Linked DNA regions of Arabidopsis thaliana. The protein of the gene in region 1 interacts with the protein of each later gene in a pairwise test. Each region holds a gene or a part of one and is shown in the gene's direction. Other genes may lie near its edges. The genes, in order: NF-YC12, NF-YB2, NF-YB5 and NF-YB7.

The links.
Region 2: the proteins of NF-YC12 (region 1) and NF-YB2 interact in binary tests that used the Arabidopsis thaliana proteins (3 or more experiments, as listed by UniProt).
Region 3: the proteins of NF-YC12 (region 1) and NF-YB5 interact in binary tests that used the Arabidopsis thaliana proteins (3 or more experiments, as listed by UniProt).
Region 4: the proteins of NF-YC12 (region 1) and NF-YB7 interact in binary tests that used the Arabidopsis thaliana proteins (3 or more experiments, as listed by UniProt).

Annotation. Positions count from the first base shown.
Region 1 is NC_003076.8:15,219,512-15,228,499, reverse strand, and holds NF-YC12 (nuclear factor Y, subunit C12), read left to right. Parts: upstream 1-5,975; 5' UTR 5,976-6,282; intron 6,283-6,396; 5' UTR 6,397-6,474; coding exon 6,475-6,585; intron 6,586-6,667; coding exon 6,668-6,746; intron 6,747-6,844; coding exon 6,845-6,906; intron 6,907-7,151; coding exon 7,152-7,358; intron 7,359-7,432; coding exon 7,433-7,504; intron 7,505-7,606; coding exon 7,607-7,660; intron 7,661-8,120; coding exon 8,121-8,123; 3' UTR 8,124-8,292; downstream 8,293-8,988. Other genes in the region: AT5G38170 (Bifunctional inhibitor/lipid-transfer protein/seed storage 2S albumin superfamily protein), read right to left, coding at 472-783; AT5G38160 (Bifunctional inhibitor/lipid-transfer protein/seed storage 2S albumin superfamily protein), read right to left, coding at 2,353-2,664. UniProt on the Arabidopsis thaliana protein: Stimulates the transcription of various genes by recognizing and binding to a CCAAT motif in promoters.
Region 2 is NC_003076.8:19,305,257-19,312,692, forward strand, and holds NF-YB2 (nuclear factor Y, subunit B2), read left to right. Parts: upstream 1-3,970; 5' UTR 3,971-4,157; coding exon 4,158-4,730; 3' UTR 4,731-5,016; downstream 5,017-7,436. Other genes in the region: mtACP3 (mitochondrial acyl carrier protein 3), read left to right, coding at 1,141-1,347, 1,441-1,629; AT5G47635 (Pollen Ole e 1 allergen and extensin family protein), read right to left, coding at 2,025-2,317, 2,392-2,593; NUDT2 (nudix hydrolase homolog 2), read right to left, coding at 5,135-5,323, 5,421-5,529, 5,602-5,636, 5,732-5,782, 5,861-5,938, 6,036-6,173, 6,277-6,342, 6,658-6,969. UniProt on the Arabidopsis thaliana protein: Component of the NF-Y/HAP transcription factor complex. The NF-Y complex stimulates the transcription of various genes by recognizing and binding to a CCAAT motif in promoters.
Region 3 is NC_003071.7:19,580,490-19,587,790, reverse strand, and holds NF-YB5 (nuclear factor Y, subunit B5), read left to right. Parts: upstream 1-4,172; 5' UTR 4,173-4,370; coding exon 4,371-4,853; 3' UTR 4,854-5,133; downstream 5,134-7,301. UniProt on the Arabidopsis thaliana protein: Component of the NF-Y/HAP transcription factor complex. The NF-Y complex stimulates the transcription of various genes by recognizing and binding to a CCAAT motif in promoters.
Region 4 is NC_003071.7:5,652,093-5,659,789, reverse strand, and holds NF-YB7 (nuclear factor Y, subunit B7), read left to right. Parts: upstream 1-3,271; 5' UTR 3,272-3,300; coding exon 3,301-3,948; 3' UTR 3,949-4,399; downstream 4,400-7,697. Other genes in the region: NAD-ME1 (NAD-dependent malic enzyme 1), read right to left, coding at 4,687-4,761, 5,022-5,136, 5,231-5,293, 5,640-5,711, 5,819-5,873, 5,958-6,044, 6,142-6,214, 6,463-6,528 and 3 more.

The DNA of each region.
Region 1 (8,988 bases):
TGGATTTATGCGACCAAAATCCATTTGTTACTAAGAGGCTCTTGGCATTGGCTCGTACATCCCCTCATGTCGGGAGAGACCAGAGTATTTAATTTGGTTTCTTTCATCCCAAGCTCCATTCAAACCATCTACCTCTACGGTTTGTTGAAATACTTTACTAATTGAGTTATTGACATTCGACAATAACTTGAATATTAATTTGTTGTAAATATACTTTAGATTAAAGATTCATATAGTTAAATTAAAAATTGTGGTTAAACTAAAACATAAGTATTTTAGTTATTTTCTAACGTTAACACTATGATGTTCAATATCTCAAACATCAACAAGTAGGATAACACTATAATTTTGTTAACCATTTTAAAGTCGGAAACGAAGAAAAAAAAAGCATACAAAAATGTAGAAACATGTGTGCTTATGTTTGTTAAATATTATTATCATTAACAACTTTTTTTAGCAATATCTCAAAAATCAACAAGTAGGATAAGGAACACCACAAGTTGCTAACGTTTTCTTAGCATTTGCAGAACCAACATATTGACTATATCTTGGATCTTTAATATATGTACAAAAACACGGCTGTTGCTCCTTCAGTTTCCCGCAACACTCTGTAGACGGTGGTACTCCTGTGAGCATTGGTGTTGCGCATGAACTAAGCTGTACTGCATCACACGTTACATCAGCTTCTCCTCCAGAAAGTTTGACCTCAGTTGCTCTGATTGAAACTGGAGAAACCATGACACCCACCACGAACACAATGAACACAAGCGCCGTGAACTTCATGTCTTCAAACTCTAGGAACTTTTCTCAACTTTCAATTTTTTTTTTTCTTTCTTAAAATGTGTATTTGAGAATGTGATTTGATTTTCAGGATGGTAGAACTGCTGTTATATAGATGTAGTTGTAACGGACAAGTTTTTAAGTTTGGTTTTATTAATACACGTTCATACATATGGCAATCATGCATGAAAACGTGGAAAATAATGATTTACTAATTCTAAATTTTAACCTACCTAGGGAATTACTAATTCTCATTTTCGGTTACCCCTCCAATCTTTTTTTTAATTATATATCATCTTAATAATCGAATAGATATATAAAATTCTAAAAGACTAAAGACCAATTTAATTGACTGATCGTTATTGAACGTTAAAATGGAGAATGCATGGTGTGTCAATGTAGATATACGTACTAATAGAATAACATTTGTACCGTATAACATTTTTGAATAACATAAAATGACATGTTATGGTAAAAAATAAATATACTAACAGAATAATTTGTTATATCGTTTTCTTCAAAGAAACAGGCCATAACATTACATTCTTTTCTTTTGAGCCAAAAACATATTTAAATCAAGATGGATTTAAACTGCTTTTTTAGTCGCCTTGGCTTGAACATGCTTGAGATGGTTCTAGCTATATTTAAAGAAGAATAGTGCTTGGATAGGGTAGAGGACATACGAACGCGAATGTGGGGCTCTTTTGATCATAATAAGGCGATCTGCTTCGTGGAATTCATTCGGTGTTTGATTAAACAACATCTTCATTCGCATTGTGATGTTAGGCGTTTTACAGATACATGAAATGATTTGTCAGTTTCTCATGACCAAAACATGGTTCATCCGCTAGAAAATTAGAAAAGTGATTTTGAGACTCGTTTTAAAAAATCTTTATGAAGATTAAACCGTTTGGACTGACTGTATGATTAACTTTTAAGAAGTTTTTTGGTACTTTTTATATTTTTGAACAGTTCCATTAATGATCTATCGTGTATCACGGTCACATTGTTACTTTGTTAGTAAGAAAAAGGTAAAAATGTCAACAAAAAAATACGAATTTTTGAATTTGGGACGATTAAATCATAAACTACGAGGAAGACAAATAAATTTAAAATCGTAAAATTTTGGTTAACTTTAAGTTTAAATGACAAAGTTTGATTGACCAGTCACTTAGGCATGGTGTTTAGTAGACTAATTAAAAACTTTTACGATATTAAACTCCTGTTAGTCGTCTCTGTTGTATCTAAACGACATTGTTTTGTCAGTTGAAACGAGACAAAATCGCCAAATCGAAACTCAAATCAAAATCCCAAAAAAAAACATCAGTTCAAATTTACCATTATTATTATTTAAAATAAATCACTTAATTATTGAAACACGGGAATAGACTCTCAGCCGTCACACCTACTGCCCTCCATCTTAACTGGCCATGCATTGGATACTATAATATGATATGTCACCTCCCAATTCAAAACCATATCTTCACCATCGACTCATTGTTACATAAAGATTTAGTTTTAAATTTTTATTATTATTGTCATTAATAGCTTGTTTTAGTAATATCACAAACATCAACAAGTAGGATAAGCAACATCACAAGCTGCTAACGTTTTACGAGCGTTTGGAGAAGTAACATACGAACTATACAACGGATTTTGAATGTATGTACACAAACAAGTTTCATGCTCCTTCAGTTTGCCGCAACAATCTGTAGATGGTGGTGCTCCTGTGCTTACTGCTGTTACACATGAACTAAGCTGCGTCGCATCACACGTTACGTTCACTTCTTCTCCGGAACCTTTGACCACCCTTGCTTTGACTGGAACTGGAGACAACATGGTACCTAACACGAACAAAATGAACACTACTCCCGTGAACTTCATGTCTTGAAAATCCTTTTCACAGCTTTATTTTTTTTTTTCTTTGAAGTATATTTGAAAATGTGTTTTGTGATTTTCAAGATGGTAGAACTATTGTTATATATAGTAGATGTAGTTGTAACGGACAAGCCTTTAGGTCTTGTCTTATTAATTAACGTTCATACATTTGGCAATCATGCATAAAGACGTGAAAATAATCATGATTCACAATTGCTCAAACACATGTTAAGTATGTGGTACGTCCGTTATAGTATATGTATAATTTTTTGGACCTAGTTGTATAAGCTGTATTTAAGAATAAATATCAAGTGGGTCTATAAAAAAGTTAGAAGAAAGTTTCATACGTGTTAAGTTTGTTTACGTCCGTTAAAGTAGATAATTTATTGGGCCTAATATGGGCTGCGTTAACTAAGATAAAGTGGGCTTCTTAAAAAAGTGACAAAAAATTGTCTGAGCCCGGGTTCGAACCGGGGACCTCTAGTGTGTGAGACTAGCGTGATAACCGACTACACCACCCAGACGATTTGTTAATAATTTGAGAAGCTTATTTATATTGCCAAAGTTACGGATTTGAGTTTCTGTGATTCTTGCCATTATTCATGCTACTTGACTACTTGAGTCCTCGTCCTCAGATTTATATTCCCAGAAGAAACAAAACGTCTTAAATATTCTCCCAGGAATATCAAAATGATGATAACAACTTATCAAGCATCTTCATCATCACTCTCCGGTTGTTTCTTTCTTACTCACCGGTACGTTTACTATTGTCCATTTATAATTCGATTCTTGTATTGAAAAAATCTCTGGGTTTGTTTTCTTTATGTGTTTTGATGGTTTGGTGATAAAAAAGATTGGATTTTTAATTGCCACTTTACATTGTTAGAACAAATGTTGAATCGAGCAATGGAAAATTCCGACATGAAGAGGAACAGTTCTACTTTGTTGGATTTACCAGTCGTTAAGGTAAACCAAAAATCTTCAAATTGGATTGATTCTCCTTAAAGCTCAGGATTTGATGATGTTTCTTTGTTTTCTTTGGGATAAATTTCTGTAATTAGTCGTCTTTAGTTGTGGAGGCTATACATATGTCAAGAAAGAAACTTGGTTGGTACAATGAGAGTAGAAGAGATTCAGAGACTGTAAAAGCTAGAGTAGAAGCGGGATTGTCCGAGGTAAAGAAGTCGGTGGAGGAGCTCGCGTTACTGATAAAAAGGTCGAATCGTTCTGCGGGGTTTCAGGAAAAGGATATGGAAGTGTTGAAGATGGAGGAAAAGTATGCGGAAGTTATGAGAGTTTTGGAGGTTGTGAAAGAAGAAGTGAGTAGAGTGAAGCTTGATGTATCATCTGTTTTGATAGAGAGAGTTGCAGCAGAGGAAAAAGTCGAAGAACTGCGGTTTAAAACGGAAGGGGGTTTGAGATTGTTGGAGAGTCTGAAGAAGGAAATCGAGGTTGCGAATGAGGAACATTTGATGGTTGCATTGGGAAAGATTGAGGCGTTGAAAGGATATAAAGAGATAGAAAGACAGAGAGAAGGGAAAGCTATAAAGGTTTTGGATTTGTTGGTGGAAAGGAATAAGAGAATCAAGAACATGTTGGAAGAGGCGGAAAGATCGAAGGATATTGAAATTGAGTTGTTTGAGACGAGTACGGATGTTGAGATGTTGGAAACACAGTTAAAGCTTTTCAAGAAAATGGAGAGGAGAGTTCAGGGGAGAGATAGTAGTAGTATGTCGAGATCAAACCGTTCTTTTGGAAGAGGGAAGTATAGTTTATCGGTTTTGAAAGAAGTGACTGAAGGGAAGAAGGAGGAACTTGCTTCTGTTAAAGTAGAGATCTTCAGGGTCATGACAGTAATGGATGCGTTGAGGAATGAGATTATCCGAGCCAGGGATGAAACAGCTTGCCTTGGAAAAATCTTGAGGGAAGATGATGTTAAGATTGAGAAACTCAACTCAAAGATTCTTATCGAAAAATCGAAGTTGGAAGTGGTATCTATCGCCGAAGAAAGGATTAGCTCTCTTGCTGAGAATTTCGTTGGTTCGCTTGAGAAGATAAAGAAAAGTAGAAATGCTGCAAAGAAAGAGGAGTTCCTTTTCAAAGAAGAGAAGACGGTTACAAAGGCGGAAACACAGAAAACCAAACTTGATATAGATAAAAAGGAAAGCGAACTGAATTCAAAGTTGGATGAGCTTGAAAAAGTGAAGCACACTGAGGCTTTAGTGCTTGAGAAGCTTGAATCTTTAGTAGAAGACATGATGGAGAGTCGCGAAATGGAGTCTGAGCATTGTTCAACAATCACTATCTCGAGGTTTGAGTACGAGTATTTGAGTAAACATGCTTCACAAGCGGAAGAAACCGCAGAGAAGAAAGTTGCAGCAGCAGCGGCGTGGGTGGAAGCACTCAAGGCTAGCACAAAATCGTTTCTGATGAAGACGGAAACTTTGATGAGAGAAAGTGAAATGACGAAAGCGGAAGAAGAGAGAGAAGTGTTTAGGATGGAAAGGTCATTGTCGACGAAGAGATTGGTGGAGGGTGAGATTCAGAAGATTAAGAGGAACTCGGAAGCTGAAGGCTATATTTCTCCCAAACCAGTTGGAAAATTCACACCGGTCCAACGTGGGAAGCCAAGAAGATACTCATCTGTTGGAACTCCAACTTTCTTTGTAATCAAGAAGAAAAAGAAAGTTCCACGCTTGGCCAAGTTCTTCAGTCGCAGAAGTTAAAAACTCAAATCATTTTGACTTCTGCGTTCAATAACAATTGCTAGAATCTCTAAGAAATCTAAATTCTATGAAATGATTCACATTCACATTCTTGTTCTTGTTCATTGTTGTGCATGATCATATAATACATGGAGTAGACTCATTCTAGCATACGATTGGTAACCATTGTTTTCATTGGCTTTCAACATTTATTTGTATGTTGCTGATCTTTATGAATACACTAGGCCAGTTAGAGGAAGAATTTTTCTCCTGGGTCTGTTCTGTCATGAACTTAGAGTTTCTGTATGTAATTTTGGTTATAGTTGTCTGAAAATGTTGATTTCTGGGTACCATGTAGTGCATATGTTTGGTACTGGTTTGACAATGTGTGAGCATAGTTATATGAATTATTTGTTCTATATCTTTTTTGGGTTCATGGTTTGTGGAATCTTAAAGAGCAACAAGATCTAGGGTGTTGGTCACTGTTCGCTATGGTCTGTTTCTGTGAAAGTTGGTGTCTAACTGATACCATAATCAAGAAATAGGATATATTTATTTTTACTAATGTAAATGTTTGTAAAATCGTTTGCTTGTTTTTATGCCATTACATTTCTATCATTTGTGGAAGTTAAGAGTTACCAAAATCAGAACTCAATAAACTTGATGTGGCTTTGATCTAATCCAGGTTTACTTGTGTGACAACTTCATTGATGAGACTGGATCACATTTAGATGAGTTGTGGCATATTGATATCTTTGGGTTCTTGAAATTACATTTAGACTATGTGCTCTTACTATATAGACTGAATTCGGTCATCAGGTTTCTTCTACGCAGCGCGTGGCTTTCACGGAAAAGGTCTGCGAGTGGTTCTTTCGTATGTATGCCTCACGAGCTCCACGAGGTATATCCTTACTAACGTGTGAGTATTAAATGTTTTCCTCTTTATTCCAGAAAAGTTTGTTCACAATCTTTAAAAGGAATCTCTTAGTCATTGGTACACTCTTAAATGACTATTATTACGTTATGATTCTAGCTCCATATATAGAGAACCCTTGTTCTTGCCAAACTCTACATCTTCAAAGATTTTTCATCATCTGTTGTGAAATATAACATGAGGAGGCCAAAGTCATCTCACGTCAGGATGGAACCTGTTGCGCCTCGTTCACATAACACGATGCCAATGCTTGATCAATTTCGATCTAATCATCCTGAAACAAGCAAGGTAAATTTAGTCAGTCCTAGTTCTGTGTTTTTGGCTTAAAGTCTTTTTATGTATGTTTCTTTAACATTTTGGTCTTAAACAGATCGAGGGGGTCTCTTCGTTGGACACAGCTCTGAAGGTGTTTTGGAATAATCAAAGGGAGCAGCTAGGAAACTTTGCAGGTGACTGATATTAAGAGATGTTTAGAGTACCTAAATAGGAAAAAAGAGTGCATTGACACCTAAATGCTAATTCTTCGACTTGTTTTGGTTACCTACAGGCCAAACTCATTTGCCGCTATCTAGGGTCAGAAAGATTTTGAAATCTGATCCTGAAGTCAAGGTATGTGAGGTTAACTTGAATTATGTTGGCTGGTCTAGAGTTTCTGAAATTGCCATTATGATCAAATTTGTTAGTCTGTTGAGTTTTACTGTTAGAATGTTTTAGTGTTGTTTATTTTTACTGTTCCTTTGACATCTTTCTAAGGTTGATATCAATACTTATAGACAAGATATATGTGACATCAAAGATTTGAAGAAATATGTTTGTTATTACAATTTTTTCCTAAGATATATGTGAATTTTCAGAAGATAAGCTGTGATGTTCCTGCTTTGTTTTCGAAAGCCTGTGAATACTTCATTCTAGAGGTAACATTACGAGCTTGGATGCATACTCAATCATGCACTCGTGAGACCATCCGGCGTTGTGATATCTTCCAGGCCGTAAAGAACTCAGGAACTTATGATTTCCTGATTGATCGTGTCCCTTTTGGACCGCACTGTGTCACCCATCAGGTTAGCTCCTTTTCGCAATCTTACTCGTGAAATCAAAAAAATTATGTTTTCATGTGCTAAATCTTTCTGTTCAGGGTGTGCAACCTCCTGCTGAAATGATTTTGCCGGATATGAATGTTCCAATCGATATGGACCAGATTGAGGAGGTGATTATTTTACTTAATAATTGGTATTATCTGAAACAAAGCATTTTAATGCGATGCTAAGTTAGAATTCATGTTCGTTTATTGCATTTGCACCAAAACCAGGAGAATATGATGGAAGAGCGCTCTGTCGGGTTTGACCTCAACTGTGATCTCCAGGTAGTTTTCTTTGAGCTTCTATTCATACAACAATTGCATTAGTGTATAGTTTCTGTTTTGCAAACATTTTAGATTGAGGATGCACTAGTAAACATATTGTTAGAGAACCCATTTAGAAAAGAACTTCATAGTAGCTTCAATTTGAGAGCAATCTTGCTAGCATCATTGTTAGGACTTAACAGATTTGTGCATAGAGACTAACTAGATAGGGGATAAATATATAAAGGTGTATCCAGAGAAATCCATGAGACATTTGGCATTTGCAGTATTTGATTCATTGAAGGATTTCAATTTGATATCTTGTTGTTTTTTGAGTAGTTAGTTGATACTTGTTGATGAATGCGATACCGAGTTAATTTACTTACGGACTGCGAATAGAAAATAAGAAACCATTTGGTTGTTTGTTCCTTAAGATTTATGTTCTTGCTATGGATTTGTACTTGTGGCTTCGGATCTGCAGTGAACATGAAGCTGCTCTGGAAGACAAAAACTTGAAGAAGAGAAGAAATCTGAAGAGGAATCACCCAACAACTCTATGTTATGTTCACCTTATAATAGTTTATCATAAACTCATTCACTAAACTATGTGTATTATTTATTGTTCCTGAATAAAAATACAATGTTTCGGTGTTTCCTCCTAAACCAAAAAAGAATAATACAATGTTTGATATTTTTACTTATGTAATTTATTTTTTTATTTATTTTATTTTGTTTTTTTTGTCATTTGCACGAAAAAGTTTTCTACACATTTTGATGAACACGTTTTAGGTGGATCTATTTTGGTTTCTCTCTTTAATAATGTCCATGGGTGGGGCACAACTCTGTACAACACCATAACTTTTCGTATCCTTAGTTTTGTATGGCCACTCTTTTGCCACTTCGGAATATTTGCCAAAACTAATGTTAACCAAAACTAATGCTTGTCAAATCATATTGTACCGAAAAATGTAAAGTATGGTGCCAAAGTAAGGTTTAACATCAAAGGACACCAAATGATGTCGAGGAAGGATGTAATTAACTAATGGTATGACATGTAAGCAAGAGATATATTTTTCTTCTATATTCTATGAAAATTGTTTACCAAAATATGTTTGTTTTTAAGTATGGACGGTGAAGTAAACGACACTCCGTCATATAAAATCAAAAGTTCAAATATTTCACATGTTCTTGTTCTATAGATAATATTTATATAGCTGCTTAATGTCCCATTACAATTTTTAAAATACTTCAGGTCATCCGTATGTTTTTTTTTGACATCTATATTAGATTAGCTTAAACAAGTCAATTCTGAAAAATATTATTTACATAGATAATTAAATGCTTTTGGG
Region 2 (7,436 bases), 4.1 Mb from region 1:
ATTGCCATCCCACAGTTTTTTTTTTAATTATGTCCCTTCATTTTGCTTTCAAATAAACTAATCAAATTTGTTATGAATTGAATAATCATTTTTAAAATCATTCATCAACCAAGTGGAAGATGTTTACAAGTACACAAGGCATTACTTGTGCATCCAAATTATTATTACCAACTTTCATAAGCTTACTTTTCTTCTTTACATTAATCACTTTCTTGCCGTCCAATTATTTTATTTGGGTTTTTTTACACTCTTTAGAAAACAAAAACATCATGTTATGTCGGTTTTATCCTATTAGAAAACACATCGACAACATTTAACCACTAAATTACATATATATATATATATATAAAATTACAACTATTGATCGTTTTTGTATTATTCTTTACAAGTCAAATTTCCACCGTTGAAATTTTGATTTACAACATTAATCCAGAGTTTAAAAATTCGGATCATCTAATTCATACATAAGTGAATTAATTAATTAAAAGCGTGACATCAAACGTTAGACACATGTGGAGATGAGATTGAATAATGAATATCATCCACTAACCATTATAGGTTAGAGTCTTGTAGCCTATGTACCAACTATCTCTTTTATACTATTTAAGTTTAACTCTCATCTTGCAAGAATCCAAGATTAAGCAGCCTTACTAAATCGGGGAAATAAACTTAGGTTTATAATCAGTGCAATCACATGGCCATAATTATAAATGAGCAAAACAATTGTCTGAAAAGGCCATAAAATTTGTTGGGCCTACAATTTGATTAAAAAAGACGAAGCGCCGCATATATTTTATCTTAAAGCCCAATAATGTTTTCGGCCCAGTAGGTGTTCTCTGTACTCCTATTCTCTGCTATAACTTATCATTGTCTCCCGCTTCAGAGGAATCAGACCTAAGAAGAATCCTCACTCGTAAAGTCGCAGGTATGGCTTCGAAGAGCTCTCGATCTATTTTGTGGTTGGAAATTAATAGTCCGTGTATTAAAGTTTCAATTTTTATGTCCTTGAATTTGATTTCTTCCATATCAGTGTCGAAACATTAGGCATCACCAGAGGGAATATTTAAGGTTTTTCTTTAAAAGCTGAAGACTTGATTAGAAATTAGTCCACTTTGATTGAAATGTTCATGTTTGTTTCAGATGCATTGCATTAGGAGCTCAATCCTGCAACACTTGAGACTGAGAGTCTCTGTCAGACCCACTTCGCTTCTTCAGAACGAGAATGGTTTCAAGAGTATTGGTATTTTTAATTTCACATCAGAAGCAGCTGCAGATGGAGGCCAAGATCAAATATTGAGCAGGGTTATTGAACTGGTGAAGAAATACGACAAAACCAACACCTCTGAGGTTAGGGATTACAAAACTGCTGCTTTTTCTTTGTGTATAACCTTTTATTTTGGTGAATGGTTGTTTTGTAACACGGGGCTTGTTTACTTGCAGGTTACTGAAAGGGCTGATTTTCAGAAAGATTTGTCGTTGGACAGCTTGGACAAGACGGAGCTAGTTATGGCTATTGAAGAAGAGTTCTCGATTGAGATCCCTGATGAGAAAGCTGATAAGCTTACTTGTTGTGGTGATGTTGCAACATACATACTCTCTGAAACTCCTACCAAAGCGTCTGAGTCCTGAGTTGTATCTCTGCCTTTCTGTCTCTCTTGTTTTCAATGTTTAGTTAATGCAAGTTTAGAGACATGCTCTGTGTCAGTGTGTCTTTGCTTCAGCCAATATGATCATTTGGGTTTTTGCTGCTAAACATTTTATATGATATATATTCTAATGTGATCACACTACTTTTGTACCAAAAACATGGGAGCCTTTATATACATGATGCTTACAGTTGTTTGTTCTTACACTTTGGGAACATGAAACACAATGTAGAGAGACTCTAACTCGGTTCTGTGACTGGAGCGCCAGCTAAGCAAACGAGGACCATAACAAAAAAAATGCTTTTCACATGAAGGAACTTGAAGAATCAGCTGTTTGTGTTCAAATCTTTTGGTTGAAATGTTGTCTCAACGAGCTTGCTATGATCTCGAACTGTGGCCCTGTAACCTGATTTTCCCTGAGGTGTAGACACGGAAACCATTGGTAGAGGAAACAAGTTTGATAGGTTTGTGTATATTGGTAGAGGTGTTATAGCATCTATAGGGCCTAGGCACATATACTGGCTTGATGAAACAAGTGTTTTCAAGGTGTGGAATCGCATGGAGTTGGGAGGGAAGATCGATTTCAAACTCTCCCAATTCATCAGTAACAGCCTTAATCCATTTGGACCTCCTTTTGGATCCAGTGTGGCACTTGATGGCAACGGTGGCACCTGCGAGGATCATGTTAGTATATATTCGGACGGAAGACAAGAAACATGAAGAAAAAAGGTAGAGAAACAAATACCTGGGATAGGGATGGAGTGAAGGTGAGGACGTGAAGTGTCGCAGAGAAGAGATCCGGTGATCACGACAGAGGAGAGTTTCTGTTCACCGTAGCCAGCCATCTCCACCATTTCCGTTCTGGTCCATAAATTATTCCCAAATGCTCCGGTGAACAAGAAGAAAGAGAGTAACAAGAAGCAACGGATGATGAAGAAGCTTCCCATCGTTAAAAACAAAGAAAAGAGGTTTGTTTGTTTTTCTTTGTATTTTGTTAAAGAAATGAAAATAGCATGAATATATAGAGAAGAAGAAGGAAGCTAAAGAAGAGGAAGAGACCCTTTGCGTGGTGGCTTCAGGTCACACAGCTCTGTACGGCAGTGTCTCTCTTTATACCTTGTAGTAGCCTTTTTCTTTTCAGTTGTATCTTTTCTAAATATATTAAAAATCGTGGCTGACTTGTTAGGGTCAAATTTAGAGCTGAATCTTCCAAATGAAACAATGAACCGAGAGCGAAAGAGAAAGAGAGATACGGCACTTGGAAGCAATTACTGAGTGGTTCGCCTACTCTTTCACTCCTTGTATAAGTATTATTTTAATAATAATATTTGGTGCAACGTTTTTGTATCTAGTGTGACGTTTCTCCTTTTCTTTATTTAATTAAGCCAATTCAGTTAGAGTAGTCATGCAGTAACCAAAAGATTCAAGCCTACCCTCAACTATACTCGCACACATTCAGCTTTGAACACAACGGCTTCAACATCGTGGGTTTGGTCGTGTCTACGTGCTCAGAATATCTAGTTGATGGTGGGAGTCAGCAGGGTTTTGACCAAACCACAGTTTCTCAAGTCCTCATTACATTGAAAAAAGTATGGGCTTAAAAGAAGCCTAGATATTGATAATAGGTCCATCACCTTTAATGGGCCATTCAGTTTGATTATCTTAACGGCCCATTAGGATTCTCCAGGTGGGACAAGTATTAGCTATGTCATTAAGAGCTTAATACAGCTGGAAGCTGGTGATTATTGTTAATGTTAACTAATCACACGCTTAGAAAAGCGACAATGGTTGGACCCACAGGAGAAGATCGAGACCGTCAAAAGTGGACAAAACTGGGACGCTTTTTGTTTCCAAACAGCTGTCTGATCTGATTGGTCGATGCAGTTTTGATGGCAATGAACCCCACCACAGACCACACCCTCATGATCCAACCCAATTCGCTCGTAACACAAAAAAAAAAAGAAGTGAAAAATTGACCGAAGGGTCGTTGAGTGGCAGTTACCCTCTGTCTCCCTAACGCCCACCTATCTTCTCCGTGTTTTCCACGCGCTATCTTTCTCTCTTCTGTGTGTTTACCACGCTCCTCTTATGCGCGTCGGCTCGTGACAAAAGTGTGCCGGGTCCACTAACTGTCCACAACACGTGGCAAAGCCTTAAAGGGCTGTCTATCTCTCAAACAAGATCAATTCCAATCCGACGGTCGAGCACGTATCCAGTTGTCAGAATCTTATCAGTAAACGGACGGTTCATATAAGATCACGTGTCAAGTGAGCAGAAGTCGTGCGTCCTCTCTTTATATAAGCTCCGGCGACTCCTTCACCACTGTGTACAATACCAGCCGACACTTAACAATTCACACCTGCTCTTTTTACTCTTTCTAAAACCCTAAATTTTCTCGCTTCAGTCTTCCCACTCAAGTCAACCACCAATTGAATTCGATTTCGAATCATTGATGGAAATGATTTGAAAAAAGAGTAAAGTTTATTTTTTTATTCCTTGTAATTTTCAGAAATGGGGGATTCCGACAGGGATTCCGGTGGAGGGCAAAACGGGAACAACCAGAACGGACAGTCCTCCTTGTCTCCAAGAGAGCAAGACAGGTTCTTGCCGATCGCTAACGTCAGCCGGATCATGAAGAAGGCCTTGCCCGCCAACGCCAAGATCTCTAAAGATGCCAAAGAGACGATGCAGGAGTGTGTCTCCGAGTTCATCAGCTTCGTCACCGGAGAAGCATCTGATAAGTGTCAGAAGGAGAAGAGGAAGACGATCAACGGAGACGATTTGCTCTGGGCTATGACTACTCTAGGTTTTGAGGATTATGTTGAGCCATTGAAAGTTTACTTGCAGAGGTTTAGGGAGATCGAAGGGGAGAGGACTGGACTAGGGAGGCCACAGACTGGTGGTGAGGTCGGAGAGCATCAGAGAGATGCTGTCGGAGATGGCGGTGGGTTCTACGGTGGTGGTGGTGGGATGCAGTATCACCAACATCATCAGTTTCTTCACCAGCAGAACCATATGTATGGAGCCACAGGTGGCGGTAGCGACAGTGGAGGTGGAGCTGCCTCCGGTAGGACAAGGACTTAACAAAGATTGGTGAAGTGGATCTCTCTCTGTATATAGATACATAAATACATGTATACACATGCCTATTTTTACGACCCATATAAGGTATCTATCATGTGATAGAACGAACATTGGTGTTGGTGATGTAAAATCAGATGTGCATTAAGGGTTTAGATTTTGAGGCTGTGTAAAGAAGATCAAGTGTGCTTGTTGAACAATAGGATTCACTAACGAATCTGCTTCATTGAATCTTGTATGTAACTAAAGCCATTGTATTGAATGCAAATGTTTTCATTTGGGATGCTTTTATGTTTTGGTGAGAGTTATGTAGTGATTCAAGTGTCAAAATGCTTACATAGAGAGGCAGCAAAGAAACCAGCTTCGTTAGAATCTGTGAGGAAAGCTCTGTTTGTTGAGAAAGAAGGTCAATTGCGCGAATGTAAGTCGCGGGTGTTGTAGTACAAGTTGCCTTGTTGATCAGGTGCAGAGACGCGGAGAGGAGTGAAGCCTTCGTAGTCTCCGTTGGTTTTAGCAGAGCAAATGTCTGTCATATACCTCAATAGCTCATAATTTTGTACAAATGGTTGATTTATGTATTCCTCCCAAGGCATCCACTGCACCAAATTCCCATTTTCAGAAAGAGAAGAGGTTTATGAGTGTTTTAGTGGATGAGACTGGAGAGTCGTTGAAGTGAGGAGCAAAAACTGTTACCTGAGCTGCCTCAATCTCTGACTCCTGTGCGTTGATCTCCAAAGAAAGGGGCTTTAACATGCACACGAAGAACAAATCTGACTTTCCAAAGAACGCTTTGTGTGTTTGTCTGCCAGAATTTTAAAACAGACGAGAATCAGTTATGTTGCAATATAGAAGATTATGCAGTTGGAGTTGCTACCTGAAGGCCAATATTTGGTCGAATTCTGTATCCACCTGAAAACATACGATGCAGAAGAGTGGGATTAGCTCTTGGTCTCATGTAAACTGTAAAGAGGACAGTGAAAAGTTGAGGCATGAAGAAGCCTTACTCCGGTCTCTTCTTTCACCTCTCTGACTGAGCCATCATGAATGTCTTCACCCTGACTCAACACAAACACAAAAAGGCGAATCAGAGAGCTGAACCTAACCATGTAATGAGCTTTAATAAGAACCAGCACCTCATTCACAACTCCGGTGGGGAACTTCCAGATACCTTGACCTTGAAATCTCCCTGTCTTCTCTTGAACCACCAGCACCTTTGGATTCAAATACAGAAAAGAAAAGAGATGTGATCCATTCTTGGAGATGTTCCAAAAAGACACACTAAAAATCTCATCTCATCAGTAATCAAACCTCTTTGTTGTGGTTAATGACAAAGGCACCTATGCCAACACGGTGAGATGCATTGGCAGGAAGCGTATCGTCTTCTTTGGGAATCCAATAGACAAGCATCAAGTAGTCTTTCTCCGCGTGGTGAAACCAGAATCCCTCCTACACATAATACACAACCAGTAAGTGATATGAAGACTCTCCAAACAATAAGCAAAAGGGGGTTTAAAGATATCTGATTGCGCATTAGGTAACAAAACAAGACCTTAACAGCAGTTTCAGCAAGACCAATAAGCTGCTTTGGCAACTTGATCCACACTCCCTTTTTGCCCTGCGTACATAAAAACGTTTGTAAACATTTCACAGTAGATCGGTTCATAGTCCTATTCACCGTCTATTACTGTAGTGGAAAAGTTGAATTTAATTTTTTTTGCAGCAAAGTGAAAGAGAGTTTCTGGCCCGCATTAGAATACAACAATTTTCAAGCGGAATAGTGACACTAACACTTTTAACACCCAAACTTTTACAATGATTCTTCTATGTAACAACAAATCGGTACCAGTATCTTGATTCGGATAACAAAATTTGTCATTTTGATCGAATCCAATAAGATCAAATTTAACAAGAGGAAGAAGGAAGAGAGAACCTGAAGAGTCCAGGTAGATAGAGAGGATCGGAGAAGTGTGGAGAAGAGAGAAGGATCCATGGGATGAGTCATCTCGGTCATCACGCCACCGTACTTGTCTTGAACAGACGGAAGCAGTGTTGTTGCGTCCTCACGGGACATGGGATTTGTGGAGGAACTAGAAGCAGACATGGATCTGTTCCTCGTGGTGGAGCAACTGTGAAACGCAGAGAACCCATCAGCCGGAGGAAAACGAAGACGACGGCCATTATTCTTATTACACAACAACAATTTGATTAAACCATAACTTTTGGCCAAACGGCAAGTCATCATTACGAGAGAAGAAAAAACAAAACTCTCAACTCAATTTACACTAAAGATTTGTCCTAAATAAGTAACAGACAAAACAAATTCTATATAAATCTGAAAGTTTTTAAATTGCTAAATAGATTGATCACTCGTTTGAAGGATTTGAGCATACAAAACCTGTTTTTTCACTTTGCGGTTCCCTTTCTACAACGTATGATGAGTGAAATAATAATAAAACAAGGAAGTAATCTATTTTTCTTCTAAAATATGTCAATAAAGGCCAAAGAAAATATTCTGTTACTGTATATTTCTATCACAAGAACATAAAAACTTCAATATTTTCTGTTTAAGAAGGTTAAGGTCAAAGGTTAATACGTACGTGGAATAGTTTCTCTGGATTGTTTGTGTTGTGACACCTACGCTTGATAGAGAAATTACCAATGATTTTCTTCTAATTTTTCTCAGATTCCCAATCTTAATATGGATTATGG
Region 3 (7,301 bases), on another chromosome or scaffold:
TTCATAAGAAAACAACAAAAACCCAGGGAAGGCACGCCAATTCATGAAAAATACATGATTCGTATGGCTACGAAAACAAAGAAAGGAGTAATTGTTGAACATAAGAGCCGAGGCTAGTAGTAGTATGCATACAAGACAAGACATAGTCACATAGGAAGACTTTGGCAACAAACCTCCACAGAAGAAGAAGAAAGAAGAAGTCGGAACATTCAACGTGGAGCAATAAAATCAAAAAGCAGAGCCAATCTATGTATTGAATCTAGATGTCAACTTCGCGTGTGAAGGAAGAGGTAACGATACGAACAACAAGAAGAAGAAGAAGAAACGCCGAGACCGATAGCGCAAAACAAATTACAACTTATAAAGCAATATTATATAAAAAGAAAGAAAGAAAAAAGAAAGACAAGTCGCGTTAAAAGACGGAGACGAAGAGGAGGAAGAAGAGGAAGACGTGGTCGAAAGGAAAGAGCTTTCAGATTTACCTCTGCTCTCGTAAAACTCACACAGCTTTAGCATCAACACATCCAAATTCTTTCTCCTCTCTCTGTCGCAGACTTTCTCAACAAAGAGCGACCCCAAAAATAAAAAATAAAAATGAGAATCACAACATATATATATATATATGTATGTAAATGTGTGTGTTTTGCTGCATATGAATACGATGGATCTTACTTACGCTTTTTTTTGTTTTTTGGGGGTTAATAAATTCCTTAAAAGAAATGAAAAATGTAATAAGAGCGTGAGAACACGCGTTCTTCTCTACTAGAGAGAATGAGATAGATAGATTAGATGGGCCTCTCTGATAAATGGAAAATCCCTGAATTAACCTTGTCTTTACAACTGTCTCTTCGTCTTCCTTTACCCTGTTTCCGTCATTTTACTATGTTTTCGCTTTCGTGGCAACTGAAACTTTTTTTTTAATTAATTAATTAATACTTCTTCTTCACTTAGCCTCCGTACGTGTTTAATTACTTCCTATTTATACTTTCTCTTACTAATTTTTATCTTCTTTTTCATGTTAATTTTTAGAATACTTGAGAATTTTATTTAACTATTCTAACTCTAAAAACTTTTTGTCAAATTTTGACTCGCAATTTAAACCAATGCATGTTGCGTTGACCACCCAAGAATGAACTTTTATCTCTAAAACTGGTTTAGATAATTACTGTTTCTTTTATTTTTCTTCTATTATTTAAGGTGTCATGATATATATAAATAACACAAGTGTCTAAAATAAGAAAAAGTAAAAAAATAAAGACGACGGTCTAACAACTCCGTACAAGCCAAATAATCTTCTTTATATAGTTGTTTGTTTGTTTGGGTACCTAGAATAAAATAATTGAACTTCAAAGGCTTATTTTCATTTCAAGCCCAAAATTGAGGCTAAGCGAATTACCACCCTCGAAGTCAAATAATGACCCAATGCTGCCTCTCATCATTCGCGTCATATACACAACACAGCCCAAACTTTTTTTTTAATTAATTAATTAATACTTCTTCACTTAGCCCAAATAATGACCCAATTGTTTCACAAAAAGCATCACAATGCTCCTACTTTTTTATTTTCCTGTCCAAGCATATTGTGCTACTTAGGGATAATGAACCGTAGTGGAGACCGAGGGAAACAGGCCATGGCGATCAACTGGCCCATATGCGAAAGCCCAGTGATCAAACTCCAAATACATTCCCGGGTCTGGGTCAAGTCAACATTTTTCACAAGTAACTATAAACAATCTCGCCAGTTGAAATGTGTATATATAGTTTGGATTCTTGGCGAATAACGAGAGAAAACTTATAACAACAAAAAGAAAAGAAAAGAAAAAAGACAAGACTAATTAAAGACAGACTAACAATTTGTATTAAACATACTGAAACAATGTTTAATTCAGCATGGACCACGCACAAAGCTACTCGCACGCTTAATAGATTCACTATACTCGATCTTTACAAGTGGGCAATAAAAATGCCATCAAATATATATATATATATATATATATATATATATATATATATATATATATATATTGCTTATGCTGATCTTAGTTAATTAGATTACTATAATTGCATGACTATATATACCAGCTTTTTTATTCGACGATATGAATAAATATATGCGTTTGCGATTTAATTCAATTTAATTAAATTTATTTTATTAGACATTGGAGAATCGAAAATATATTCCTTAATAACAACTTTAAAAAATCACTAGTCGTTTCCTTTTCTATCAAGCCATACTTGAGAGGACATTTCACAAAGGTGTTATTTTATCGACCAACTTTAGGATTTAATATCTTAAATTTTGTACTATATAGATTTGTATATTCACGTTCTCATGGTTTCAACAACTAATTAATGCTTTATATGTTTTCTCCCTGAAATTCCAGCAAATACACATATTATATACACACAGTTTTTCATTAGTAGTAATTCTTATCTAAGTAACTAAGTAAGGCGCATCATTAGTTTTTCTACTAAACATACTTTTGGTGTAGGATTCGAAAAATAAACTTCCATATGCAACCATATGACCTAGCTAGTTTCATTATTACAACCTTAAACCGTTTGAAACCATTTATGACGAGTCAATTTCATCTTTTGATTAGGAGGTAGAGAACCAAGTTAATGAGCAAGTAATACTAATAATTACTGTTTATAATATAGAAATGCTATGAACGTCATCATGCATCGTTCAATAATTAATTAATATCTAAAGGCGTTCAACATTTGTTTATCCGTTTCAAGGTGGTCCGATCCACCATCGGTCGACACTTGTCCTCACTTTGTTAATGATTTTACATATATGTATATGTAGCTGTAATATTTAACTAATGACTTAGGTTTTTCGGGAAAACAAATAACATAAAATAATAGCCAACATATCATACTTCTAGAACACCATGCTCTCCAAAATCTTGTAAAATCCTCTATGTAATTTATAAATCTATCTTTACATTACTTCTTTAAATAATAAATGGGAATGTTTTGCTAAACAGCTCATATTATTCTCATCCATAGTAAGGCGACAAAGCTTGTAAATGTTTTCGTCTCAATATAATGCAGAATTTACATAATGCTGTATAGCCAATCAAAATAAATTAAAGTTTAAAATATAAATAGCTAGTTAACTAACTAAATCACTGTTTTGCGGATATAAACTAAATTTCGTCTAATAATTAAATACTGGTAAAAAGTAAGTAAAAACATAAAATCACATATAAGAGGAAATATATATATATATATATATATATATATTATTAATCCAACTAGTTTTGATTTGAAAGTTCATAGAATTTAAATGGTAGTTTGATTAAAGTAGGTTATATCATCGAGATTGAGTTCTAGATGGATAAGAAAAACCTAATGTGTTGACAAAATATATATATCAAAAGTGTGGTGAAACAAAAAATTATGTATTTCCTCAGTTCGAAAATATAAAATATTTTAGTTAAAAAACGATTTTTTTTTTAAAACAACATTATTAATAAGTAGTTGAAAATATAATTCAACCAAATATTATTTATAGCCTCTTCAATTTTGGCAAGCAGACTACTAATTATAGACCACAAGACGTGCTTTTATATGGTCCACGAGTTCGATATTATCGTTTATTAAAGTGACTAGCTCTTAAGGAGGAATGTGGAATAATTGAATAATTTTTGGTTGAGGAGAGTTTCCAGACTAACTGGAGTGTGGAGTCAATCCACAGATAGACGGTATTGACTTAAGCAGGAGGACCAAAACTTCCTTTTTAGGGTAACATCAAGTACGTCATCAACCCCAAACTATTTTCGCCTTCACGTACGTTGAGGATATCATATCATATTCATTCCCAAAGGCGAGATAATTCACTACTAAAGGAATGATATATGTGTTATATATTCTTAACACATTTCAACATTATTTTGTTTGCAACACATCTTATTCTATGATTACATTTTAATTGTTTTAACTCAACCAAAAGGGTTTAGGAGAAAATAATTAGAAGAAAATTGAGAGAGAGAGAAATTAGCTAGACCTGCCACATTGTCTCCCCTGTGACCTAGACCACTCTCATTGGTTTGTATGACACGTCACCACCATTCTCTGACCAGACAAACATAGATAGATACTCCTTAATTAGCTCTCTTGCCTTTCTACTTATATATAAAGCTAATTTAACTACACAAATCTCTCTGTCAAAACGAATATTTTTTTAGATGTATACATAATAAACACATTTATGTTAAAACCTCTCCTTTTTCTGTGTGCCATATAGTTTGGCAAATTACATATCTTCGTTCTATATCATCATTCGTTGTTGTGAATCATACTGAAACGAACCCCTCACCAAACAAGATTTATAGATCCTCTGCTTTAATTATAAGATTCTGATGGCGGGGAATTATCATTCGTTCCAAAATCCAATCCCTCGATACCAGAATTACAACTTCGGGAGCAGCTCATCTAATCATCAACATGAACATGATGGGTTAGTGGTGGTGGTGGAGGATCAACAGCAAGAAGAAAGCATGATGGTAAAAGAACAAGACAGGCTACTTCCGATAGCAAACGTAGGAAGGATCATGAAGAACATCCTCCCAGCAAACGCAAAGGTCTCTAAAGAAGCCAAAGAGACTATGCAAGAATGTGTGTCCGAGTTCATTAGCTTCGTCACGGGAGAAGCATCCGATAAATGCCACAAGGAGAAGCGAAAGACCGTTAATGGAGACGATATCTGTTGGGCTATGGCTAATCTAGGGTTTGATGATTACGCCGCCCAGCTCAAGAAGTACTTACATCGTTACCGAGTTCTCGAAGGTGAGAAACCTAATCATCACGGCAAAGGAGGACCTAAATCCTCGCCAGATAATTAAAATTCTTCCATCGCTTTTTGATTTTCCTTGATTAATCTCCATGTCATCATCTTCCTCTTTAGGACCAGCTATCTTTTTCTATCTTCTCATATATTGTTCTACATATATAAATAAATTTTATGTATATGATGATATAACATGTATGTGGTGTGAGGTACTGAACAAATCTGTGTTAATTCTTCCAGCTGATTTTGTTATTTTCTATATTTTTATTTATTTACATATATTGGAGTGGAGATCGATCGATGTGTATATTATGAACCATTTTCGGGATTTTCTTTTGGTTGCTTCATTAATGCTTTTTAAACAATTTATTCAGATTTAATTAATTTTCGACTGGTATAATTAAATAAAATTAAATCGAGCATCATACAACAACACAAGTCCTGCCACAACCAACCAAACCGGTTTTTAACTGTTTACCATCTAACTTTTAAAACCGTCAATCATGAAGATGAACTAATATATCATCAACTTTGTAGATTAATTTCGACAGTGAGGATATATACTACCATGTCCCTTTCCTCTGATCTAGACTACTTAACCCTCTATATATAAGAAATCAACTTTGCAATTTCGTAGTTTGTGGAATTCTTATTCAGTTAAATCAATTGATTTCTTTCGACAAAAAGCGAAACTTAGTCGACTTTCAGTATTTAGATATATTTTTAGATTATGGCATTTGCATATAGATTATTCGCATTCATTTATCCACACTAAAATGCTAGCTATTCCGTACACATCATATAGAAAAATAAAATTTACTACTTCGATATTGTTTTCTTTAAAGCCTAATTGATATTTAGACCTTATGTCGATATAGATTAATTCTATTTTCGACGTGATTCACTTTCTAAACAGTATATAGTACTAAGAAATAAAAATGGGCTAAATTGATTAGTTAAGAGCGAGTGGTCCATAAATCCAGATCAGTTCTCACATGTTATTTACTAACACAAGATCCCTGGACCTTCCACATAAAGAAAGTTATACATGTCTGACTCACGCTAATAACGTATACTTTTTACTCCAAATTTCAATTTGACCATTATACTCTTTTTTTTTTTTTTTTGTTAATACCATTTCAGCTGTTGATATCAAGCAAATATTTTCGCCTTCTCAAAAGATGTTATGTATTGGTTGATATGTTTGACCAAATAAAAAAATGTTAAGTTGAGATAGAATCTTAAGTTTAAAAAGAGATATATCTTAATTTAAATATTGTTGTTAATGTGTTGGCCTATAATAAATCATAGAGGTGGTATATATCGACGTTGTAAAACAGGACTATGATGCATAAAAAGAAATCATGTTATTTAAGATTTAACTGGCTGTTTAGAGGGAGCCAAATATTTTGGCTAATGAGATAGAGAAAGAGAATGTGTTTTCAACGGATTCTTTTTGTTAAAGAATATAAATATATATTAATCATAATGAGGCTTTTACACACAGGTCATAATTGAATGTTAATTAGGGCTGTAATTAAGATATAAAAATAGCATATGAAAAGAACATAATGAACCAAAAGCGGCTATATATGATTCCTCCAAAGAGGAGTCAACATGAAGCTGAATTTGTATCTGGTGGTCCTTTTCATCTCCTTTGATGTTGTTTGCAGTGGATGATTCCGCACGATGGTGTTGATCTCAAGTTTTCGTGTGTGTTAGCGAGAAGCTGGTTAGTGAGGAGTTCAATAGTGTATTACTGTCTAGTGACGTCGTGTTAATCCAAATATGCAAGGTCTTGGAAGTGATTTCTGGTATAAAAAAAACCGAGAACCAAAACATGCTGAAAATCTCGGTGAATTAGTTGTGTCACTAGTGTTGATCATCAATTAACTGTGTTAAATTTTCTCTATAATATTATAAAATGTAGCAATTGTTTTCTTAGTAAGTACTACAAAAAAAGGTTTGAAGAAGAGCGACCAATCATAGGCTACATAGTAATTCTCAAAAACGACTAACTTATACCTTGAAGAAACCAAAGATTCCAATTTCACGCATATCACCGTTTCACGCAAATTCTGAAGTTATATAGATCATGTGCATCCATCAAAAAATGTATTTGATACAAAATATTCAATATAATAAAATACACTGCTCCACTCTATTAGTCTATTTTCATAAGATGTTTATAATTATTTATTTTTTATTTCATTTTCTTTGAAGTTATTTAAAAAGTGTAACTGAAATGTAATTTTTTTATTTCCCTTGCCTCAAATATATGCTGTATTTTTACTATTCTTTTATTATTAGTTAACTTTAAAAAACTAATTAATTGATGCTTTTCATGTTAAAAACATATAAATTTTAAAATATCTTGCAAATAGAAACGAATAGAGAAAAATTCACGTGTTGGTAGATTACTGGATTGTTATTAGAGAGTTGTTTGAAGTATAGTGAGCGAATTAAAAATTTACTGTGTTGCTTGCTGCACTAAAATTACGAT
Region 4 (7,697 bases), on another chromosome or scaffold:
TGATAGCTAAAGGCTATATCGAAAATCAAATCTGACGGAGCCGCGCAGGACCCGACGGCGGAGATGGATTTAAGATGCGATGAAACGATTCTTCTCCACATAATGGTCTCGATTCTTCGGGGAAAATTAGGAAAATTAGCATCAAGAGAAGAAATCGCAGATAAATCTTGAAAATGAGATTACTTACAGGAAAATTAGATCCGGACACGCGGTGAAGATTACTGAGAGATTAGAGCTCTCAGAGGAGATTCTCCGATCTACGATAGCAGAGAGTGATAAAGAGTGTGATAGAGAGAAAGAGAGATTTGTTGGAGAGGCCTATTTGCGTCGATTAGGAATCTCTCCCTGAATTAGTATCGGCCTGCAATAGCCATTTTTTACAGACTTTGAAAATCTTAATATGATGGAAGTTGTAGTTATCTGAAAGGTTTAGAATAACTAGAGTGGAGGGTACCAACAGCGATACTGATATCCACGTAGTCTCTGTAAATGATATCATCTCCATCGATAACTGCATTTACTACAGGTTGGTGCTGGAGGTTTGACTTGAGCACCATTAAACAAGAAACTCGTATGGAAAAAATTTAAGAAATTGTTTCGGCAAAAAAACTAGTATCCAACATATCAAGTCCAATAAAAGATAAACTGCAAAAGGCTGCCTACGTACCCTTAGAAAGGGATCAAGCCACACGTAGTTCATATCGCGATAAACGAGCTAGGCCATTACTGGAGGAAGGTCGTATGTCGAGTTAGGCAGTTTTAGGGATGATCCGGCGGATAAGTGACGAGTTGAATGGCTTCTCGAGACGTGCGAGTAGGTTAGTTACTTTGGGCGGGCAAGTCGGCGAGACACTTCGGACGGACGAGTAAACGAGCTACTCAAGATGGATGGGCAAACGAGGTACTTCGGACGGGTGAGCTGACGAGCTGCTTGAGACGGGCGAGCTGATAAGCTACTTGAGACGGGCCGGCTGGCGAGATACTTCGGACGGGTGAGCTGACGAGCTGCTTGAGACGGGCGAGCTTATAAGCTACTTGAGACGGGCCGGCTGGCGAGATACTTCGGATGGGTGAGCTGACGAGCTGCTTGAGACGGGCGATCTGATGAGCTACTTGAGACGGACCGGCTGACGAGATGCTTCAGACGGGTGAGCTGACGAGCTGGTTGAGACGGGAGAGCTGACGAGCTTCTCTTTGTCTCTAAGTGTGCATATGTTTTTTTTTTTTGATCATATTGTAAACAATATAGTTTAAAACCTGATGGTGGGAATATTCCCGCTATACAACAGTATCTCAATATTTCCGGTAGAAGGAATTTTAGATTTGTCTTTCATGGTAAAAGAGAAAGATAATTGATAATGTATCCATAAGAATCCATCCACAATATAAATGTATTAATTCGTTTGTCTGATTGGATAATTCATTATCACTGGATGACATTTATATTAAGTTTTAACGTATTTGTAAACATAATTAGCTAGAATGATTTACCAAATAAACAATAGTTCAAAATACACAAAATTATTTATTTTTCTTCGCATTGTTAACTGATATCAAATGTTAGATGCACTTGAAAAAATGTTGTTATGGATGGAACAAACAAATAATATGATACAAACCACTAAAACATTCAACAGCAATATAGAGATAAGATTATCGATATGGTTAATGTATCCATATCAAACGCTTTTCATGTTGAAAGATAAAGATAATTGTTAATGTATCCATATGAATCCATCCACAACATAACTGTATTAATTCGTTTGTCTGATTGGATAATTCACTATGACTGGATGACATTTATATTAAGATTTACAAATAAACATCAATCCAAAGTACATTATCCATGTTTCTTTGACCATTTATCCACATGTATATAGACATGTTGATACAATTTTATCGAGCTATAAACATATTCGCAGCAAATCAAAGACATATTTGTCCATTAATGATTGTCCAAGCAGTCCAGTCCATGATCATCTAAAGACTCACATGATAGTTTCATACTAATACATAAGTTTATACATGAACAATAAACGTCAATCCAAAGTATATTATCCATGTTTCTTTGACCATTTATCCACATGTGTATAGACAGTCAGTTACGTAGACCTCAGTCAGTTAAGGAACTTCTCCAAATCTGCCAACATCTCTACATATTTTAATGTAGACGTAATAGGTTGGTTTGAGGATACGAGGACACCGTCAACAATGAGGAGATAAGCAAGCCGAAGTCTGTGGTAAGAAGATAAGGTCTTGTGATTAACATTTTTGAAATATCACCTAACGTAGCATTCATGTCTTCACCTATTAGCTCTTCACAATGTTGGATATTATAAATAAAATTAGCACACGGTTGAATAATTAGAGCAAATAAAATGATTGGAGAAGATTAATACCTTGCATTTGAGGACCGAGTAGAAGTTACTAGCACACGCCGGAGACGACGAATCGATTGAGAGACAAGAAAATGAAGACCATGACGGGAGAACAAGTGTTGACGACGACGACGGGAGAGGACGAATTAATGTCGGCCGATTGAAAGCTTTGTTGACGATAACGACGGGAGAGGGACGAGGAAATGACTTTGCCGGTAGAAAACTCGTTGGGATGATCGCCGGAGTCGAGATGATGTTATCGTCGTTGTGATGATTTTAACTGCCCAGATAAATGAAACTGTAAAATCGTCGTGAAGGATTGGGTGAGAAAAAGAGGTTTCTCACAAATTGGTTTTAGTTTAGAGATTGAGATTAAAAAATTAAACCGAAAACCGGCTAAATTTGTTAGGTTTTGTTAAACTAACGATTTCAGGGTAAAGGGGTAATTCTACTGAGTTAAAGTGACTAATGCTTTTAAAGTGCCTATTTGTGGCCAAAGTTTCAAAATAGTGCCTTTACGTGTAATATTCTCGGATAAATAACCACCATATATATTTACCAGGCTAGAGTTTAGGAAATTACTATAATACAATAAATCAAAGCATTATGGAGACATGATAATTTATAGTTGTCTACATACTAAATAAACATACTACGGAAAATAATAAATTGAAAACACTATTTGATGACAATATGTTACATGATTGCTATTTTCTTACACTTTTCTTTATTATCTGGCAAATAACAAAGAAAAAAAAAAAAAAAAAAAAAAAGGAGCGAGTCGCATGGAGTTCCAAATTTGGTTGGCAAGGTATCCATAAATAGAAAAGTTGCCTAGTTTCATGCACTAAGCTTAACCATAAAATCAGATTGATCACATGTGGTTAACATCAATCACAAAAAAAAACAAAGAGATAGAGATATGACTGAGGAGAGCCCAGAAGAAGATCATGGGTCTCCTGGAGTAGCTGAAACAAATCCAGGAAGCCCTTCTTCAAAGACCAACAACAACAACAACAACAACAAAGAACAAGACCGGTTTCTTCCCATTGCGAATGTCGGAAGGATCATGAAAAAAGTTCTTCCCGGTAACGGTAAGATCTCAAAAGACGCTAAAGAAACCGTTCAAGAATGTGTCTCGGAGTTCATTAGTTTCGTCACTGGTGAAGCTTCTGACAAGTGTCAAAGAGAAAAGAGGAAGACCATCAATGGAGATGATATCATTTGGGCTATCACAACTCTCGGTTTCGAAGACTACGTGGCTCCATTAAAGGTCTACCTCTGCAAATATAGAGACACCGAAGGAGAGAAAGTTAACAGCCCAAAACAACAACAACAAAGACAACAACAACAGCAGATTCAACAACAGAATCATCATAATTATCAGTTTCAAGAACAAGACCAAAACAATAACAACATGTCATGTACTAGTTACATCTCTCATCATCATCCTTCTCCATTCCTACCAGTGGATCATCAACCTTTTCCCAATATTGCTTTCTCTCCTAAATCATTGCAGAAACAGTTCCCGCAGCAGCATGATAATAACATTGATTCAATTCACTGGTGAGAGAGACATTTGCTTTTTTTCTTCTTTCTTTTCACATATTATATGCTTTTCTTTACCTTTTGTGAGTACATCTTGATGCTTATATATATTTGTTGCTATATAGACACTAGACACGTACATTTTGATATTTTCAGTATACCCATGGTTTTGTGTAACAGAAATTCGTCTTCATATATTTTCCGGATTAGTTCGTCTCGAGCAAATATAGCAATCTCTCATGATTTACAACAGTAGAAACTAATTCCATGCTGCTAATTGGATTAGAATACTTACCACCTACGGTTTGAGAGTTAGTGGTCTAGCTTATAAGGTTTCCAGTAGAGAATAGCTTAATTGGAAGAGAATGGTGTATTGTTTCTCATTCATTTACTCATGTTATGATTGATAAAGATGATTGCTTGAATTAAAGAACTTCAAATTGTTCCTCACTCACTACTCTTAGTATCTTGACCTGAAACTATAAGTTATAAAAGTAAATGCATTTCTAATACGATGTATGTAAAATGTTGCTGCTATGAATCTGATTGAATATAACTTCTTTTTTACATATAAATAAGAGAAAGTGGAAGCTATGAATCTGATTGGATAACAAACAACCCAATTATATATTTTTTTTTTTTTTACATAAGAACAAGAGAAAGCAGTAGCTATGAATTTGATTGGGTATAAAGCAACCCCAATTATAAATTTTTACATATAAATAAGAGAAAGTAGACTTATTCATTTTGGGAACCAAACTTAGTCATCCTTGTAGACCAAAGTCGGGTACTCTGGATTCCACATGTTGTTTTCCACATACTCCATCAGCCCCTCCTGCGGAATACACAAGACCGCGTCAACATAACTAACATTTAGGCTTAGTTTCTGGTTTAGTCTTTATTTTCTCTAAGTGAGAAATCAGGTAAACACTCTTCTGTTCTTTACATATAATCAAACCCGATCGACATTCTTCGTAGAATACGATTTTATGATCAGGAGTCCAAAACACGTGAAAGATGGGATGTTGTTTTGACATCTTTTCTTTTTCTATCATTTATGATTATATTAAAGCAAGTCATTAGCTGAATTGTTACCTCATCCAGCTTTTGGATCTCTCGAGCGTCCATTTCTCTATATCCTTCAACCAAATCCTCCTCAATCGCTTCCTTAATCACCGCAGCTGCTATTCTTTTTGTTATGTCTCGTATCCTGAAATTTCAATTCCACATGCCAAATGTAGCAACTATATCAAAACATTTTCTTATGTAACAGTAAGGATGTTCTTTGATTGTGTTACTCTTACCTTGATATTGGAGGGTATATAATCCCCTCTAGCACTTCTTCTTCGCTCATGTATGCTGCTAGGCTGCAGTAGTTTAGCAGAACAATGTCATGATTCCACATTCATAAATTACGGGACTTGTTTATTTTCATGGTCTCCTTAAAAATATGAGTTTTACACTAACTACAATATGAAACCTCAACCGAAGGCCTACTATTGGGAATACCATTTGGAGAGAACATGTCGAACTACTGTGGTTCCTGTCTCGTGGATGGGGGGTATGTTATAGTTCGTGACATCAGCCAAATATGCGGACATTCTTAATAATCATTTAAATTTGGTCCGTAGTTATATATCATGGTACTCACTTCAGCTTTAGTTGAGAATAAATCAGGAATGATAAATGAAAAAGGTAAAGAAAGGAGCTTACCACTCGGATGCGGCCTGAAGCATCCCGTCGGAGACAATGGGAGCACCAGATAAAAGAGTGCCAAGTCCAATACTACAATAAATTTTACAGGATTAGAAAATCAATTTATTTCATGACAATTAATGTATCAATTCAAGAATGTATGCAATTCTTTCGGACAATAAACAAGAGGAACCAACCCTGGAAATAGATACATGTTGTTTCCCTGGTTGCAATGTCCTACATGACCATTTCCTGCCACAAGAAAAGGTACTAATATTTGAAAAAGCCTCATATAAAATGGCGTATGCTAAATGATACAGAGGTCCTCATACATACCAAATTCCACATTCTTGAATGGGCTTCCACTCGCAAAAATCATATTTTCGCCTAATATCGAAAATGCATCTTGAGGCGTGCATTCAGCTGTTATTCAAAACACAAGTACCTATTACATCTATCCAAAAAAGAATCACAAATAACCGCAAAACACATTTTATGGCAAAGAAAGAAGACAAATTACCATTTTTTGTGGGGTTTGACATTGCAAATATAGCAGGCCTTGTCGAGGTTGAACCTTTCATTGCTTCTAAAACCTTCAACACAATATCCCAACAATGACTTCAAAAATCAACTACCATATGTCAGAATCATGCAAGCAATGAGCTATGCTACATTCTACTAGCTCACTCATCTACTTAGCAGTTACCATGGAAACCAGATTATGAAGACAGTGGTCACTGAAGAAATACTAGATTTCATTTGCGCGCTCATCTAATTAGTTAAATCACTGATTCTGTTGCATAGCACTAGATATGTTTAGCCGTTTGGCAGCTTTCATTACCTCTTTTGAGAATAACCCTCCAACTGCTGATAAACCAAGAAGCACATCAGGTTTAACTTCACGAACCTAGCACAGATGAAACAGAAAACCGTTGTTTCTTGTCAGTATTAAGCAGGGAAACTTTTTTAAGGGAGAATTTCTCTCCAACACCAGACTCATTGCCAAATTAGATTTAGTATACTTGATGAACATATTGATAGAAAGAATAACAGACCACTTCCACAAGAGTTGCTCCTTCTTTTAATCCCTGACGCTCCATTTCTTTAGTCTTCCTAGCAAAAGGCTGAGCCTCTGGGTCAATATTTTCCCGGCCTTCGGTGATAAGACCCTGATTTAAGTGCAAAAAAAAGAGTTCACAACTTCAGCTCCTTAAGCTATTGGACCAAAACACACGCCCAAAAAAAAAATGATGATGAAGTGATTTCATCAGCAGTAAAAGGAAACCAGAGGGAAATGGCTTGACTGGCTAAAACGTCTTATCAGCTCCCTAATCTGAAAATCAATTACTCCACTATAGAATAACATACCTGCGCATCAACCACCCAAAATTGACTTTGTGCACTATCAAACGCAGTTTCAGTATTTCCCAACATTCGTGCCATTGTCTTCCTCGCAGCATTTAGAACACCAATTCCCGCACTGAAGAAATCAAAGATTTTTACAAGGAAGCTCAGTATTCTAATATAAGTAGTCTAAGCTAACTTATGCAGTGATGCAGCTGAAAGTTTTCATTTTAAATCTCTTCAAACATTACTCAAAACCAACAAATAAACGAAAGATCCCTGACCAACAAATAATTAAACAGTAACAGCAAGACCAATCTTTTACCAATACCAATTTCTGGTAAACTAGGACCAGGAAAGACGAGAAAAACACCAACCGAGAATGGCTTACCTTCCCGCGCCAGCAACAACGATCTTCATCTTTGGGAAATCAATCATAGGTCGCCCCTGTGCTCTAACTGCTCCAAGAAGACCAGCGATAGCAACCCCTGCTGTCCCCTGAGCGAGATCATGAAAACATAGAATGAAAAACAAGATTCTAGTATCAGCATTTAGATTTCGAGTTCCCTTCGTCAGTCTCTTTAATGCATCTGGTCGTATAAAAAAGATTAAGAATAACTATTGAACGATAAGATGATGGATTGAGCACAGAAAATATGATACTTTTATAAATAGTAGTGACTAAAATGCTCTAAAAATAGTAAAAATACTGCAGAAATAAATAAATAATTA